Macaca fascicularis: one gene and its partners. The protein of the gene in region 3 interacts with the protein of the main gene of each other region in a pairwise test. Links are inferred from orthologs where the notes say so. Each region holds a gene or a part of one and is shown on either strand. Other genes may lie near its edges.

Region 1 (2,588 bases), on a different chromosome or scaffold from region 3:
AGCGCTGCAGCCCCCACCTCAGAGCTCAGAGGGACTGGTGGGGGCCCTGATGCACGTGATGCAGAAGAGGAGCAGAGCCATCCACTCCTCCGGTGAGCTGATCCTGCCAGGGCCTCAAACCTGGCTCCCAGGGCTAGCACTGGCCTCAGAACAATCCCAGCAGTCACCACCAATAGTGACATCAGCCCCATCTGTTGACAGCATTAACATGAATCTTGTGTCAGCCTCCTTTTTGACAAAGTTAACATTAAGTCATTATGTGACAATAACATAATTAACTCCAACTTTGACAATAATATTAACATTAATGCCAGGGTGTGTCCACAATATTAATGTCATTCCCACACGTTCAGTACTATTAACATCAGCTGGCAGGGCACGGTGGCTCATGCCTGTAATCCAGGAACTTTGGGAGGCCAAGGCAGGAGGATTGCTTGAGCCCAGGAGTTCAAGACCAGCCTGGGCAATATAGTGAGACCTCGTTTCCATAAAAACTAAATTCAAAAAAAAGTAGTTGAGCATAGTGGTGTGTGCCTGTGGTCCCAGCTACTTGGGAGGCTGAGGTGAGAGGATTGTTTGAGCCTGGAAGGTCAAGGCAGCAGTGATCCATGATTATGCCACTGCACTCCAGCCTTTTTTTTTTTCTCAAAAAAAAAAGAAAAAAAAAATCAACCCATTATGTGATGACAATATTATGAAGAACACCATTGTTGACAATAATATTAATTTTAATTCCATGTGTCAACAGATTTACATTAACTCATTATGAGATAATACAATCTAATCTTTTTAAAAACATTTTTGAGACAGGGTCTTGCTCTGTGTCCCAGGCTGGAGTACAGTGGTGCAATCATGGCTCACTGCAGCCTCAACCTCCCAGGTTCAAGCGATCCTCCCACCTCAGCTCCCAAAGTTGCTGGGACTACAGGTGTGTGCCACCATACCTGGCTAATTTTTGGTGCTTTTTTGGTAGTGATGAGCTCTCACTACCAAGCTCTCACTACTCTCATGTTGCCCAGGCTGCTCTGCAACTCCTGGCCTCAAGCGATCTGCCCGCCTCAGCCTCCCAGAGTGCTGGGATTACAGGCATGAGCCACCACACCCGGCTGTTAACCTAATCTCTTTATAATAATTTTACTATTACTCTCTTAATCTGTCAGCAGTACTGTCACCAATCCATTATATGATGCAAATATTAATATCAACCTACTATAGGAACTTCATCTTTTGACAACGATTTTTTTTTTTTCTTTTGAGATGGAGTCTTGCTCTGTCGCCTAGGCTGGAGTGCAGTGGCGTGATCTTGGCTAACTGCAACCTCTGCCTCCTGGGTTCAAGCGATTCTCCTGCCTCAGCCTCCCGAGTAGCTGGGACTACAGGCCCGCCACTACACCTGGCTAATTTTGATAATGTTATTGTCATTAACCCCATTATGTGTCAAAAATATTAGCGTTAACCAGACAGGAAGCAATAACATATTATCACACCTTTGCTAATAATATGTAAATTTACCCTATTATGTGATAAATAGGTTAACATTAACCCTTTGTTTGACAATATCTCCACTAACCACATTTTTGACAGCATACACTTCAACTCCAACTAGAACTCAGACCCCAACTATAATTCCTCTTGTCCCAAATGGAAACTCTAACTCGCCCTCCTCTAGCATGAGACCTCAGACTCCCAGGGTCCAGTCCTCACCTCCCAGGCCCTATGAAGCCCCCGACCAACTTCCCAAGGCATCTTTCTCCTTCCTTCCAGACGAAGGGGAGGACCAGGCTGGCGATGAAGATGAAGATGATGAATGGGATGACTGAGTGGCTGAGTTACTTGCTGCCCTGTGCTCCTCCCCGCAGGACACGGCTCCCCCTCCACCTGCTCTGTGCCCACCCTCCACTCTCCTCTTCCAGGCCCCCAATCCCCATTTCTTCCTCACCAGTCCCTCCAATGCTGTCATCCCTGCCTGGTCCTCACACTCACCCTAGCAATCCCAAGGCCCTTTTTATACAAAAATTCTCAGTTCTCTTCACTCAAGGATTTTTAAAGAAAAATAAAGGAATTATCTTTCTGTCTCTCTATAAATCTCAGTCTGTTTACATTCCAAATGTGGGAATGGGGTCCCTTTCCTCCAAAGTCCCTTTTATTCATTTATCCCATTTTATTTATTTAGCCTTACATGTATGTATATATTCATTCATTCATTCATTCATTCCCTCAGTCATTTAGCCTGTATTTCTTTGTTTCCTTCTGCCCCTCTGTCTTTCAACATTTATTGCCAGGTACTATTTTAGGGGCTAGGAATCAAGCAGTGGAAAAAAAAGCAGACAAAAATTCCCGCCCTTAGGGGGTGAAATCCACATTCTAGGGGAAGAGACAGATAAGAAACAAGAAATCAAATAGAAATAAAAGATAGTTGCAGATCATGATAAATGCTGTGGAGTGGTAAGGCAGAGATACAGACGAAACAACATTCAGATGGAGCAGTCAGGGAAGGTCACTTGGAGTAGGTGATGGTGGTGCTGGACCTAAAGAGAGAGAAATGTAGGCCCAGTTAATATTTGGGGAAAAGGGGTTCCAGGCAGAGG
Region 2 (3,520 bases), on a different chromosome or scaffold from region 3:
CAAGCACTTACCACATCATTTTAGAATTGTCTGTCACTAAACTGTAAGCTCTTCAGGAGCCATTTTTGTAACTTTACACCGAAGCATAGTATCAGACATCTGACAGATATTTAAGAAATGTTTGGATGAAAAACCTGAAGTTCAGAAAAATGAAATGATAACCTGTCCAGGAAGACATACAGAGACAGATATACATGGTCCAGTGCTCTTTCTACTGCACTGTGAGGCATTACTGGTATAATTAATTATTCTAAGGGGAAAATGGAGGGCTCTGGTCACAGATGCAAAAATAATCTCACTTTTTTTTCCTCCACAAGAGGGAAAAATCAAGCCAAATGCCATTTGCAAATCTTTTCACACTTCCTGTTGAGAGCCATTCAGTCTTAATACTTCATGCATTTTTACACATCCCAGATGTATACAGTTTCCATAGATGATGCTAGTCTTTGATGCCCCCCTCAATTGTCTGGCTCCTCCTACCTTACACATTACTGCTGCTTGAGACTCACACCTTGGAGAATCAAGTAACTAATGCCAGACCATTCCTCAGACTCCTCCAACTACCACAGCAACACTGAGGAAACCCCCATCTCCCCGGCAGGCATCTTTTTCAAAAGATTCACTTACATGGAAGCCTCATAAACCTAAGCCTTCTGAGGAATATGAGGGAGACTAACAATAAAGAGAGAAGATGGGTATTCCCTCTGCAGTCCTTTGGAAATTGAATGCTTGGGTGATCAATAGAACACCCCAAAAAGAGTAAAAAGAATTCCCTTGAGTAAGATTAACCAGCTGTGTTTTTCTCTAGGATATGTCAAATGGTCTGTTTCACGTCGAACATTCTAATGAAGATGAGGTACTTGAAAGCAAAGCAGCTGCGAAGACATTTGAGACTGTTGGCATCCTTGGAGTTCAGCATTACGGGTACAAAATGCCTGAAATTTTTATTTTCTTTGGAAAAGGAGTTTTACTCTTGTTGCCCAGGCTGGAGTCCAATGGCACAATCTTGGCTTACCGCAACCTCTGCCTCCTGGGTTCAAGCGATTCTCCTGCTTCAGCCTCCTGAGTAGCTGGGCGCCACCACGCCCAGCTAATTTTTAGTAGAGACGGGGTTTCACCACGTTGGTCAGGCTGGTCTCGAACTCTCGACCTCAGGTGATCTGCCCACCTCGGCCTCCCAAATTGTTGGGATTATAGGCGTTACCCACCGTGTCCGGCCCACACTGCCTATAAATTTTTGCTCTATCAATTTTCACATCCTCTGACACTACATTTAGTTCCAACTCCCTCATTTAACATTCAAGAAAACCAAGGACTGTATCTTACCACCTCTCAGTTTTCTGATGAACACATGACACTTACTCAATTCTAGTTGAATAATATTCCAAATCCTTCATAAGCTTCCAGATTCATCCTTGTTATTAAATATTCAACAGTAGTATGTTAACTCTGACAACCACCTGGCCTTGCTAAAAGGCAAAAACAGTACCATTTCCTATTTATTCAAAGTAACGTTCCAACCAAGTATTTAAAGATAGTAATAAGCAAGATAGATAAACTGGCCTGTCCTATCTCTATCTAGTCCTCAGTTATAGTCTGAAAAAAGCTGCTCACCAATCTGTGAAACATCAACAGTCAACCTCTTCCAAACCAAACTCATCCTCAGCAAACTCCTCCAGGAAAGAAATCCCTGAGTGTGCTCAGAATTTAACTCAGTAACACTAGATGTTATAAGCTTCTTGCTGCTAGCCTCTACTCTCTACAGCATAAACTTCTTGAGTGCAGGGACGCACCTTAGTCACCTTCTTAATACAATCTCCTTGTTCCACACTACTACCAAAATACTCAGCTAGGTGAAGACCCTGTTAAACCGTAGTTAACCAAGTATCAGAATGCAGGCACATTGTGGACCCGAGATACTGACAACAGATACCGGTACACAATGACTACCACATTAGACAAGGAGGGACAGAGTGGCCTTGGAGCATAATGCTTGGAGAACTAGGTACAAGCAATGAACTACCGCAGGAAAATGAACATAAATGCAGAATTTGGTATACATACAGGTTATGCAGAGACCTTAGTTAAGAAACCCTACCTTCACAACAGCATAAGATCCCAGTTCTCTTTTGCTCAGAAGACACAGGATATGGATTTCCTTACCGGTACTAGAAATTTCTTGACTTCCTCCATGGCATGGGCCATAAGAGCATAAGCCTCACATGGGGGTCCAAAGACTTCAATGAAGACATGCAGATCCATATTCAAGTGGGCATATTTGGGGTCTCCACCTTTGCGCAGCTCTTCCTCCTATGGAAAAATGCAGAGAAACGTCACACCACATGGACTAGGGAGAAAACAACACCTTTACCTCTAAGCCAAAGGAACAGCAAGAAATATCCCCAATGTCTAATTAAACTAACAGTAAAGTTTAATTGGTATGAGCTGAGAAGAATTAAAAAAAAAAAAAAAGAAAGAAAAACAGTAAAGTTTAAGAAAGTAAAACAAGCAGCCAGGCATGGTGGCTCATGCCTGTAATCCCAGCACTTTGGGAGGCCGAGGTGGGCGGATCACTAGGTCAGGAGTTCCAGACCAGCCTGACCAACGTGATGAAGCCTCACCTCTACTAAAAATACAAAAATTAGCCGGGCATGGTGGTGCTTGCCTGTAATCCCAGCTACTCAGGAGGCTGAGGCAGGAGAATCGCTTGAACCCGGGAGTTGGAGGTTGCGCCACTGCACTCCAGCCTGGGCAAGAGCAAGGCTCCGTCTCAAGAAAAAAAAAAAAGTGAAACAAGCTCTGAAGAACAGTAATTTGCACAGCCTGCTAAACTTGCACATGGTCTGCTGCTAACAGTTAATTGTCATCTTAAATCCCTGAGATATCCACTGGAGCTCTTACTAAAAGCATAAAGAAGAAAAACTTAATTCTAGTCTCTATTCAGATAATAGCTGTGTGCCAAGCATTTGTTTTTAAATCTCAGGTAGAGCTGTTAATCACCACGAGCTCTGCTTATCTGCTTATATGGTCTAGGGAGTGCTAGGGGAAGAAAGAAGTCAGGACAGAGAGAAGAAAAGCTCATGTAAATCTCATTAGCTAGAACAACACACTTCAGCCCTAACTATATGCATCTAGTAAGAAATGACCTGAGAAAACAAACACGTGTCCATTAGGCTACATAAAAGGAGGATTGAAAGAATAGGTTTTCGGACTGTAGCAGGCATATCTCATCAAATAAAGTGACCCCAGAAGGCTAAGACCATTCTGTTTTGGTGAGAAGTTTCTTGTCACAGAGTACACAGTATATGCGGCTATGGCATGGGAAAAGACTCATTAGATTCTGTAGTCAGGATTACTCATGGCTCCTTTTGGAATACATTCTTTTAGTGAGCCTCACATTCCAGCCGGCTATAAAACAAACCAACTAATCCTCAAACTCTTCTGCTCTCACAACACTATTGTTCTCACTTTTCCAGGTTACAAAAAAGGGGGTGTGCTGTTTGCCTTTTAGTGTCTTTTG
Region 3 (3,520 bases):
AGGAGTGTGAAGAAACTCCAGTAGGACTGTCTCCTAACACCTGGTACTTTTTATATTGAAACTCGTTTAGGGAATAGTGTTTTTAAATATAAATTTTACTAAGTGGAAGTATTTTTAAGGAAGATCCCAATTGTGGAAAAACTAAGATGAATAATATTTCATCACTGATTAATATACAATAGAAATGCAGATGTGACTTTTGTTTTAAAAATCTGTCTTATTAAAGTTATTTAAATAATTTTTATTTGTGTTTCTTTTGCATTATTTAATGATTGGTATTAAAATTATAAATCATTAACATATACCCATTATTATTCAGAAGCATTGGAATAATTTCATTTACTAATGTACTTCTTGGGTTTTGTTTTTATTACTTTCAGGTGATCAAGCACGTAATTTTTTCCTACAGTCAGGTCTACCGGCCCCCGTTTTAGCTGAAATATGGTAAAGTGTTTTCTTTTATAGATGAACCTAATTTTCTGATAGTATTTTTTTTTGTAATATAGTGTTAACATAAAATTGTTTTTAGTTGCATTCTATTGGTTATTAAGAATATTTCTGCCAGCCCTTTGGGAGTCTGAGGTAGGAGGATTGCTTGAGGCCAGCCTGGGCAACATAGTGAGAACCCTGTCTCTACAGAAAATTAAAAAAAAAATTAGCTGGGTGTGGTGGCCCACACCTCTAGTCCCAGCTCCTCAGGGAGGCCAAGATGGAAGGATTGCTTGAGCCCAGGAATTCAGTGCTTAAGAGAACTATGATTGTGTCACTGCACCCTAGCCTGGATGACAGAATGAGACTCTCTTAAAAAAAAAAAAAAATTCCTTCAGTTTTTTGGAGAATAAATTTTATTGAGCAAATAAAATGATTGAAAATAATTCTCTAATTTCTAATTTCATTAATTAGATTAATTTAGATAAACTAATTAGATAAACGAATTTCATTAATTAGAAATAGTTCTCTAATTTCTAATTTCATTAGAATTTTCTAAGGGAAGATATATACATTGTCATTGAGAAAAATTCCCTTGTAATTTGGCAGAATCTCAAAATCCTTTGTTACTTTGTAGTTTCATTTATATCATAATACATAAACCCCAAATTAGTCCTCGCTTCCCCTGCTCCTTCTTTGAAGAAACGATTCTCCATAATATCTGTTTTTTTAAAAACGTTTACAATAAGTAACAACCCCTACCCCGTCTTTCCACTTGGAATATTCTCATGCCTGGCAGTGTATGAGGTACATAGCAAGTATTCAATAAATATTTGGACAAATGAATAAATTAAATTTGAAGTATTATACTCTTGAATTTTTTTATACCTAAACTGGTGGAATTCAGCCCAAAGGTTTCTAGATTCTGTATAGACAGTCAGTGTTTTATTAGTTGTTATCTCTGGTCAGTATTTCTTAATGTGTAGGTTTTATCTTTTTGTTATTATATATTTTACATATTAGATATTTTAAATTTAGTGATGATGCACACGTGAATGCCATATCATCTTTTTTACTTTGTTAACCTCCAAAATAACATTAGTTTTCCCACCACCACCCCACATACCAATCTACCTACCTCATGCTCCTTTTAGGGCTTTATCAGACCTAAACAAGGATGGGAAGATGGATCAGCAAGAGTTCTCCATAGCTATGAAACTCATCAAACTGAAGCTTCAAGGCCAACAATTGCCTGTGGTTCTCCCTCCCATTATGAAGCAACCCCCTATGTTTTCTCCATTAATTTCTGCTCGTTTTGGTAAGTGTGTATTAATTTAAATACCTGTATTTGCTACTTAAACTTTATCCCTAGACATATTTGAGTATTAGAAAAGGATTTGTTAGCACAAAATGACAATCCCCAAATTCCAAGTTAATTTTCATTTTAGAGATAATAAATATTAAATTCACTGTCACAGGTAGGGGATCCATGTGTTCTGGTTTTCTAGGGACAGTTCTGATTTATGCCTTTTGTCCTGGCACCTGGTCCAGTTAGTGTCTCCTTTTACAACTCCTAGTTGTGTGATAAATTATATGGTCTCCCTAGGTATAGCCAATCCCAAATACTAGTCTTAGTTTCCTCTCTCTATATATATATATTAGTAATATAGAAAAAATTTTGAGCAGTTTTAAACTCACTTGAAATGGTTTGATTTGGGAGATAATTTAAAATTTTATGTAAGTTGAATTTTTTTTAAAGGTTAATTAGCCAGCTAAATTTAGGGCCAAAAGTTGCAGACTTTGGGCTCATAGGTTTACATATTCATCAGCGATAACCAGGTGGTATGTTTTCTGTTAAGTTTGATCAGGCAATTTCTTATAATTATATGTGAGAAACACTCATTTTGAATGGAACATTCAATTAGGTATGTCTGTGTATCTGAAACATGTTCCTTCACTACATATTTTAGAACATAGGCCGGGCGCGGTGGCTCAAGCCTGTAATCCCAGCACTTTGGGAGGCCAAGACGGGCGGATCACGAGGTCAGGAGATCAAGACCATCCTGGCTAACACGGTGAAACCCCGTCTCTACTAAAAAAATACAAAAAACTAGCCGGGCGAGGTGGCAGGCGCCTGTAGTCCCAGCTACTGGGAGGCTGAGGCAGGAGAATGGCGTAAACCCGGGAGGCAGAGCTTGCAGTGAGCTGAATCCGGCTACTGCACTCCAGCCTGGGCGACAGAGCAAGACTCTGTCTCAAAAAAAAAAAAAAAAAAAAAGAACATAGAATTCTAGAGCTGGTTATAGGGGTGTGTGCCTGTAGTTCTGGCTGCCTGGGAGGCTGTGGGTAGGATTGCTTGAGTCTAGGAGTTTGAGGTTGTAGCGTGCTATGATCATACCTGTGAATAGCCACTTCATTCTAGTCTGGGCAACATAGTGAGACCCCCATCTCAAACGAACAACAAACTCCACAAAATTATTTCACTATTGTAGTGAATTCTGGAGATAAACACCAAATCGTTGTGTGACCATATTTATATATTAGTATTCTGCAGTTAATAAATGAATAAAAGTCATCACTTTGTTCTTTTTAAAGACTTGTCCTTGAATTCATAGGAATGTTACTTACAAGAAAAGGAAAATATGTGACACACTTTCTTGCAAATAATGCATGTGCATAAGTGGATCTCATAAAATATCTACTACTTACAGTCTTTTTGTTTGGGGGGAGTGTGAGAGAGAGAGAGAAGAGGGAGTGTGTGTGTGTGGGGGGGGGGTGTGAGTGTGTGGGTGTGTGTGTGTGGGGGGTGTGTGGGTGTGAGTGTGTGGGTGTATGTGAGTGTGTGTGTGTGTGTGTGAGTGTGTGTGTATTAAGTAACTTAGTAGCACTGTATTATCCTATCACAAAAACCTCGTTGGATCTGGTAATATATTCTTTCCTTGAGGATACTCATATTCAATTGGAAAAGGCTGCTTAGTTTTATTCATGATGAGAGAGGAGAATATTTAACTCTTTACTAGGTATTTTCTTAGTTCATACAGATCAGAATATTAGTATTAGAGCAGCAGTTTACCTCCCTCATTGCTGGGTC
Region 4 (3,520 bases), on a different chromosome or scaffold from region 3:
GAACCAAGCCTCACCTTTTTAAAGGACGTGAGTAGCTTAACGCTCACATATCCCAGCTTGTTCCTCCTCACGTGCTTTAGCAAAAAGGCGTCCTTCTCCAGGTTTTCATCTGAAAAGTAGAATTCGATCTGATCCACCAGTTTCTTGATCAACTCCTCGTCCGGGGGCTTCCACTCCTGCTCCAGGTCCTCACGCTCATTCTCGCCTCCACTTGCAGTGGTGCCACTGAGACCAGAAGGAGACACCAGGTGTTAGAGGTTGAACTGTGTCCCCCAAAAATTCATATGTTGAAGTCCTGACCCGCAGTACCTTGGAATATGATGTTATTTGGAAATGGGGGTCACTGCAGATGCAATTAATTAAGATGAGGTCTTACTGGAGTAGGGTAGACCCCCTAATCCAACACAACTGGGGTCCTTATCAAAAGGGGAAATTTGAACACAGACATGCACACAGAGAGAACATCATGTGAAGGCGAAGGGAGACACTGGGGTGATGCAGCAAAACCCAAGGAATGCCAAAGACTGCCACTAGAAGTGAGGAAAGATGCCTGGAATGGATCCATTTCTAGTACTTTCAGAGGGCACTTGATTTCAGGCTTCAGACCTCCAGAACCATGAAACAATATATTTCTGTTGTTCTAAACCATCCAGCTCATGGTATTTTGTTATGGCAGCCCTAGGTGATGACACTGGGTCACATGGTCACAGAAGGAGAGATTTGCCCCCAAACAGCTAAGAAGTCAATCTTTCATTTTTAACAAGTATGGAAGATCATAAAAATAATAACTGGCCAGGCATCGTGGCTCCCATCTGGAATCCCAGCACTTTGGGAGGCCAAGGCAGGCAGCCTGAGCCCAGGAGTTTGAGACCAGCCTGGGCAACATAGCGGGACCCCTGTCGCTACAAAAAACACACAAAAAAATTAGCCAGGTGTGGTGGTGCAGGCCTATAGTCCCAGCTACTTGGGAGGCTGAGGTGGGAGGAGAGCTTGAGCCTGGGAGGTCTAAGTTGCAGTGAGCCAAGATTGCACCACTGCACCTCAGACTGGTTGATAGAGTGAGACCCTGTCTCAAAATAAGAATAATTATTATTATAACAACACCCTCTGCTGACATGTATGTGGCGCTCTGCCCCCATATGTTTTTCACATATGGCAAAATGTTTTTCACATATACCCTCTTATTCTTCCTCTTCTACTCCACCCCCTCAAATCCTAGTTTCTAGAAGACAGTATAGCAGTCACTTGACCTTTCAGTAAGATCCTCCATATTTATTAAAGAAAAAAAGCTTGATTTCTTAGCTGGTTCAGGACAAGACCTGGAGTGCAGTGGTGCGATCTCCATGTGGATACATGATCACTGCCTCTCAGGAGTCACTGCAGTGGTGCGATCTCCATGTGGATACATGATCACTGCCTCTCAAGCCACCTGCCTTGGCCTCCCAAAGTGCTGGAATTACAGATGGGAGTGTAATTTCCTAGGGCTGCTGGCTCTAGGAGTCCTGGCTTTAGAGTTAAGACTGCCTGGGTCCAAATGCTTGGTTCAGACTGAGTATCCCTTATCCCAAATGCCTGGGACCAGAAGTGTTTCAGATTTCCGATTTTTCCAGAGTTTGGAATATCTGCAGATACGTAATGAGATATCTCAAGGATAGGACCCAAGTCTAAATGCAAATTCATTTATGTTTCATATATACCTTGTACAGATAACCTGAGGTAATCTTATGCAACATTTTTAATAATTTTGTGCATGAAACAAAGTTTCTGAACCAGCGGAAAGCAAAGGTGTCGCTGTCTCAGTTTTTAACCCATGTTAAACCTGTGGTGTCATGGTGGCTCAAAATGTTTCTGATTTTACAGCATTTCAGATTTTGAATTTTTTTATTAAGGATGTTCAACCTGTACCACTGTTTATTAGTTAAGTAAATTTAGGCAAGGAACTCCACTGCATCTCACTTCAGTTTCATCACCTGTAAATTGGGAATCATGATAGTCCCTACCCTCATGGGAGTGTTGTGAAGATTCAATGAATTAATACGTGAAAATATCCAGAAGAGTGCCTAGCATACCCTCAAAGCTCAGTAGGCACAGATAAATTCCTTCACTCATTCATAGGAGGCAGATCTAGAATTTAAACTCAAATCCTCTGTCTCCAAATCCAGTATACATAATAGCTTATATGTTTTGCTAGGACCCTGCAATGGACTCTGGAAACAATCCCGTCACCAGGCTCTTCTTAATAAAGCCCACCACCACCAGCAGCACCACCTGGGTAGACTTCCTTCTCTCCCTCTCCCTAAGAACATTAGGTGACAGGAACAAGCCAAAGCAATCCTGGACAGAGCTTCCTTAGGAAGGCTAATCTTTCATAAGGGGATTATAACAATTTCAAACCAATAAACATTTAGAGAATACTGATTATCCACATCATAACTGATGCCATTATTAGAAGTTAGCAGAAAGTTGCAGGTAGGTAGTTATAGGAGTTGGTTTAGCAACTCAATGTCAGGACCAGTAATCTCAACAGGCCTATTACTGTGATCGCTTAACGCTGGAAAAGACACATACATATATGTCCTTCAACAAAATTTTCATTGGCTCTCAGCCTCACAAAGAAAAAAAAAGAAAAGAAGCAACTGTGGAATACTCAAAATGAGGGAAAAAAATATGGCAAGAGAGAAAAAAGCAAATAAATCTATTTAATAATTTTTCAAATTCAGAAATTATAATTAGTATAAAATATAGGCATTGGTTGATTAAAAATAAAGAGTTTTAGCTATTTGCCTGTAGGCAGCCTGGGAATGGCTTTTAAAATACCTTATTGATGTCTCAAGGTAAATACGGAGTGAAGAGGCCTGGCGCGGTGGCTCACACCTGTAACCCAGCACTTTGGGAGGCTGAGGTGGGTGGATTACTTGAGGTTGAAGTTCAAGACCAGCCTGGCCAACATGGTGAAAGCCCATCTCTACTAAAAATACAAAAAAGTAGCTGGGTGTGGTGGTGCATGCCTGTAATCCCAGCTACTCGGGAGGCTGAGGCAGGAGAATCCCTTGAACTTGGGAGGTGGAGGTAGCAGTAAGTGGAAATCACACCACTGCACTCCAGCCTGGGTGACACAGCGAGACTGTCTCAAAAAAAAAAAAAAAAAAGAAAGAAAGGTATAGTGAAGAAAATAACAGGGAGACTAAATTTTAAAGTTTTTTTTTTTTTAAGTCTTGTTAAAATGGGATGATAAAAATCAGGCATTAAGCTGACTCACCCAACATCCAATAGCAAACACTTTCTCAATTGCTTTCTTCTTCTTCTTCTTCTTTTCTTTTCTTTTTTTTTTTTCTTTTTTTTTTTTGAGAAAGAGTCTTGCTGCATTGCCCAGGCTGGAGTGCAGTGGCGCGATCTCGACTCACTGCAAGCTCCGCCTACTGGGCTCACGCCATTCTCCTGCCTCAGCCTCTCGAGTAGATGGGACTACAGGCGCCCGCCACCACGCCCGGCTTCAATTGCCGTCTTTACTCTAGAGGCT

What was found. The genes of interacting proteins can lie anywhere in the genome.
Region 1: the proteins of ITSN2 (region 3) and WAS interact in a two-hybrid assay, tested with the Homo sapiens proteins (2 studies listed by BioGRID). The link is inferred for Macaca fascicularis from reciprocal best matches to the Homo sapiens genes ITSN2 and WAS.
Region 2: the proteins of ITSN2 (region 3) and KHDRBS1 interact in a two-hybrid assay, tested with the Homo sapiens proteins (2 studies listed by BioGRID and IntAct, with this or other methods). The link is inferred for Macaca fascicularis from reciprocal best matches to the Homo sapiens genes ITSN2 and KHDRBS1.
Region 4: the proteins of ITSN2 (region 3) and LARP6 interact in a two-hybrid assay, tested with the Homo sapiens proteins (2 studies listed by BioGRID, with this or other methods). The link is inferred for Macaca fascicularis from reciprocal best matches to the Homo sapiens genes ITSN2 and LARP6.

Annotation. Positions count from the first base shown.
Region 1 is NC_088395.1:48,845,589-48,848,176, forward strand, and holds the end of WAS (actin nucleation-promoting factor WAS), read left to right. Parts: coding exon 1-92; intron 93-1,764; coding exon 1,765-1,820; 3' UTR 1,821-2,085; downstream 2,086-2,588. UniProt on the Homo sapiens protein: Effector protein for Rho-type GTPases that regulates actin filament reorganization via its interaction with the Arp2/3 complex. Important for efficient actin polymerization. Possible regulator of lymphocyte and platelet function.
Region 2 is NC_088375.1:202,998,476-203,001,995, forward strand, and holds part of KHDRBS1 (KH domain-containing, RNA-binding, signal transduction-associated protein 1), read right to left. Parts: intron 2,311-3,520; coding exon 2,164-2,310; intron 1-2,163. UniProt on the Homo sapiens protein: Recruited and tyrosine phosphorylated by several receptor systems, for example the T-cell, leptin and insulin receptors. Once phosphorylated, functions as an adapter protein in signal transduction cascades by binding to SH2 and SH3 domain-containing proteins.
Region 3 is NC_088387.1:97,943,616-97,947,135, forward strand, and holds part of ITSN2 (intersectin-2), read left to right. Parts: intron 1-380; coding exon 381-444; intron 445-1,583; coding exon 1,584-1,747; intron 1,748-3,520.
Region 4 is NC_088381.1:47,633,745-47,637,264, forward strand, and holds part of LARP6 (la-related protein 6), read right to left. Parts: intron 226-3,520; coding exon 15-225; intron 1-14. UniProt on the Homo sapiens protein: Regulates the coordinated translation of type I collagen alpha-1 and alpha-2 mRNAs, CO1A1 and CO1A2. Stabilizes mRNAs through high-affinity binding of a stem-loop structure in their 5' UTR.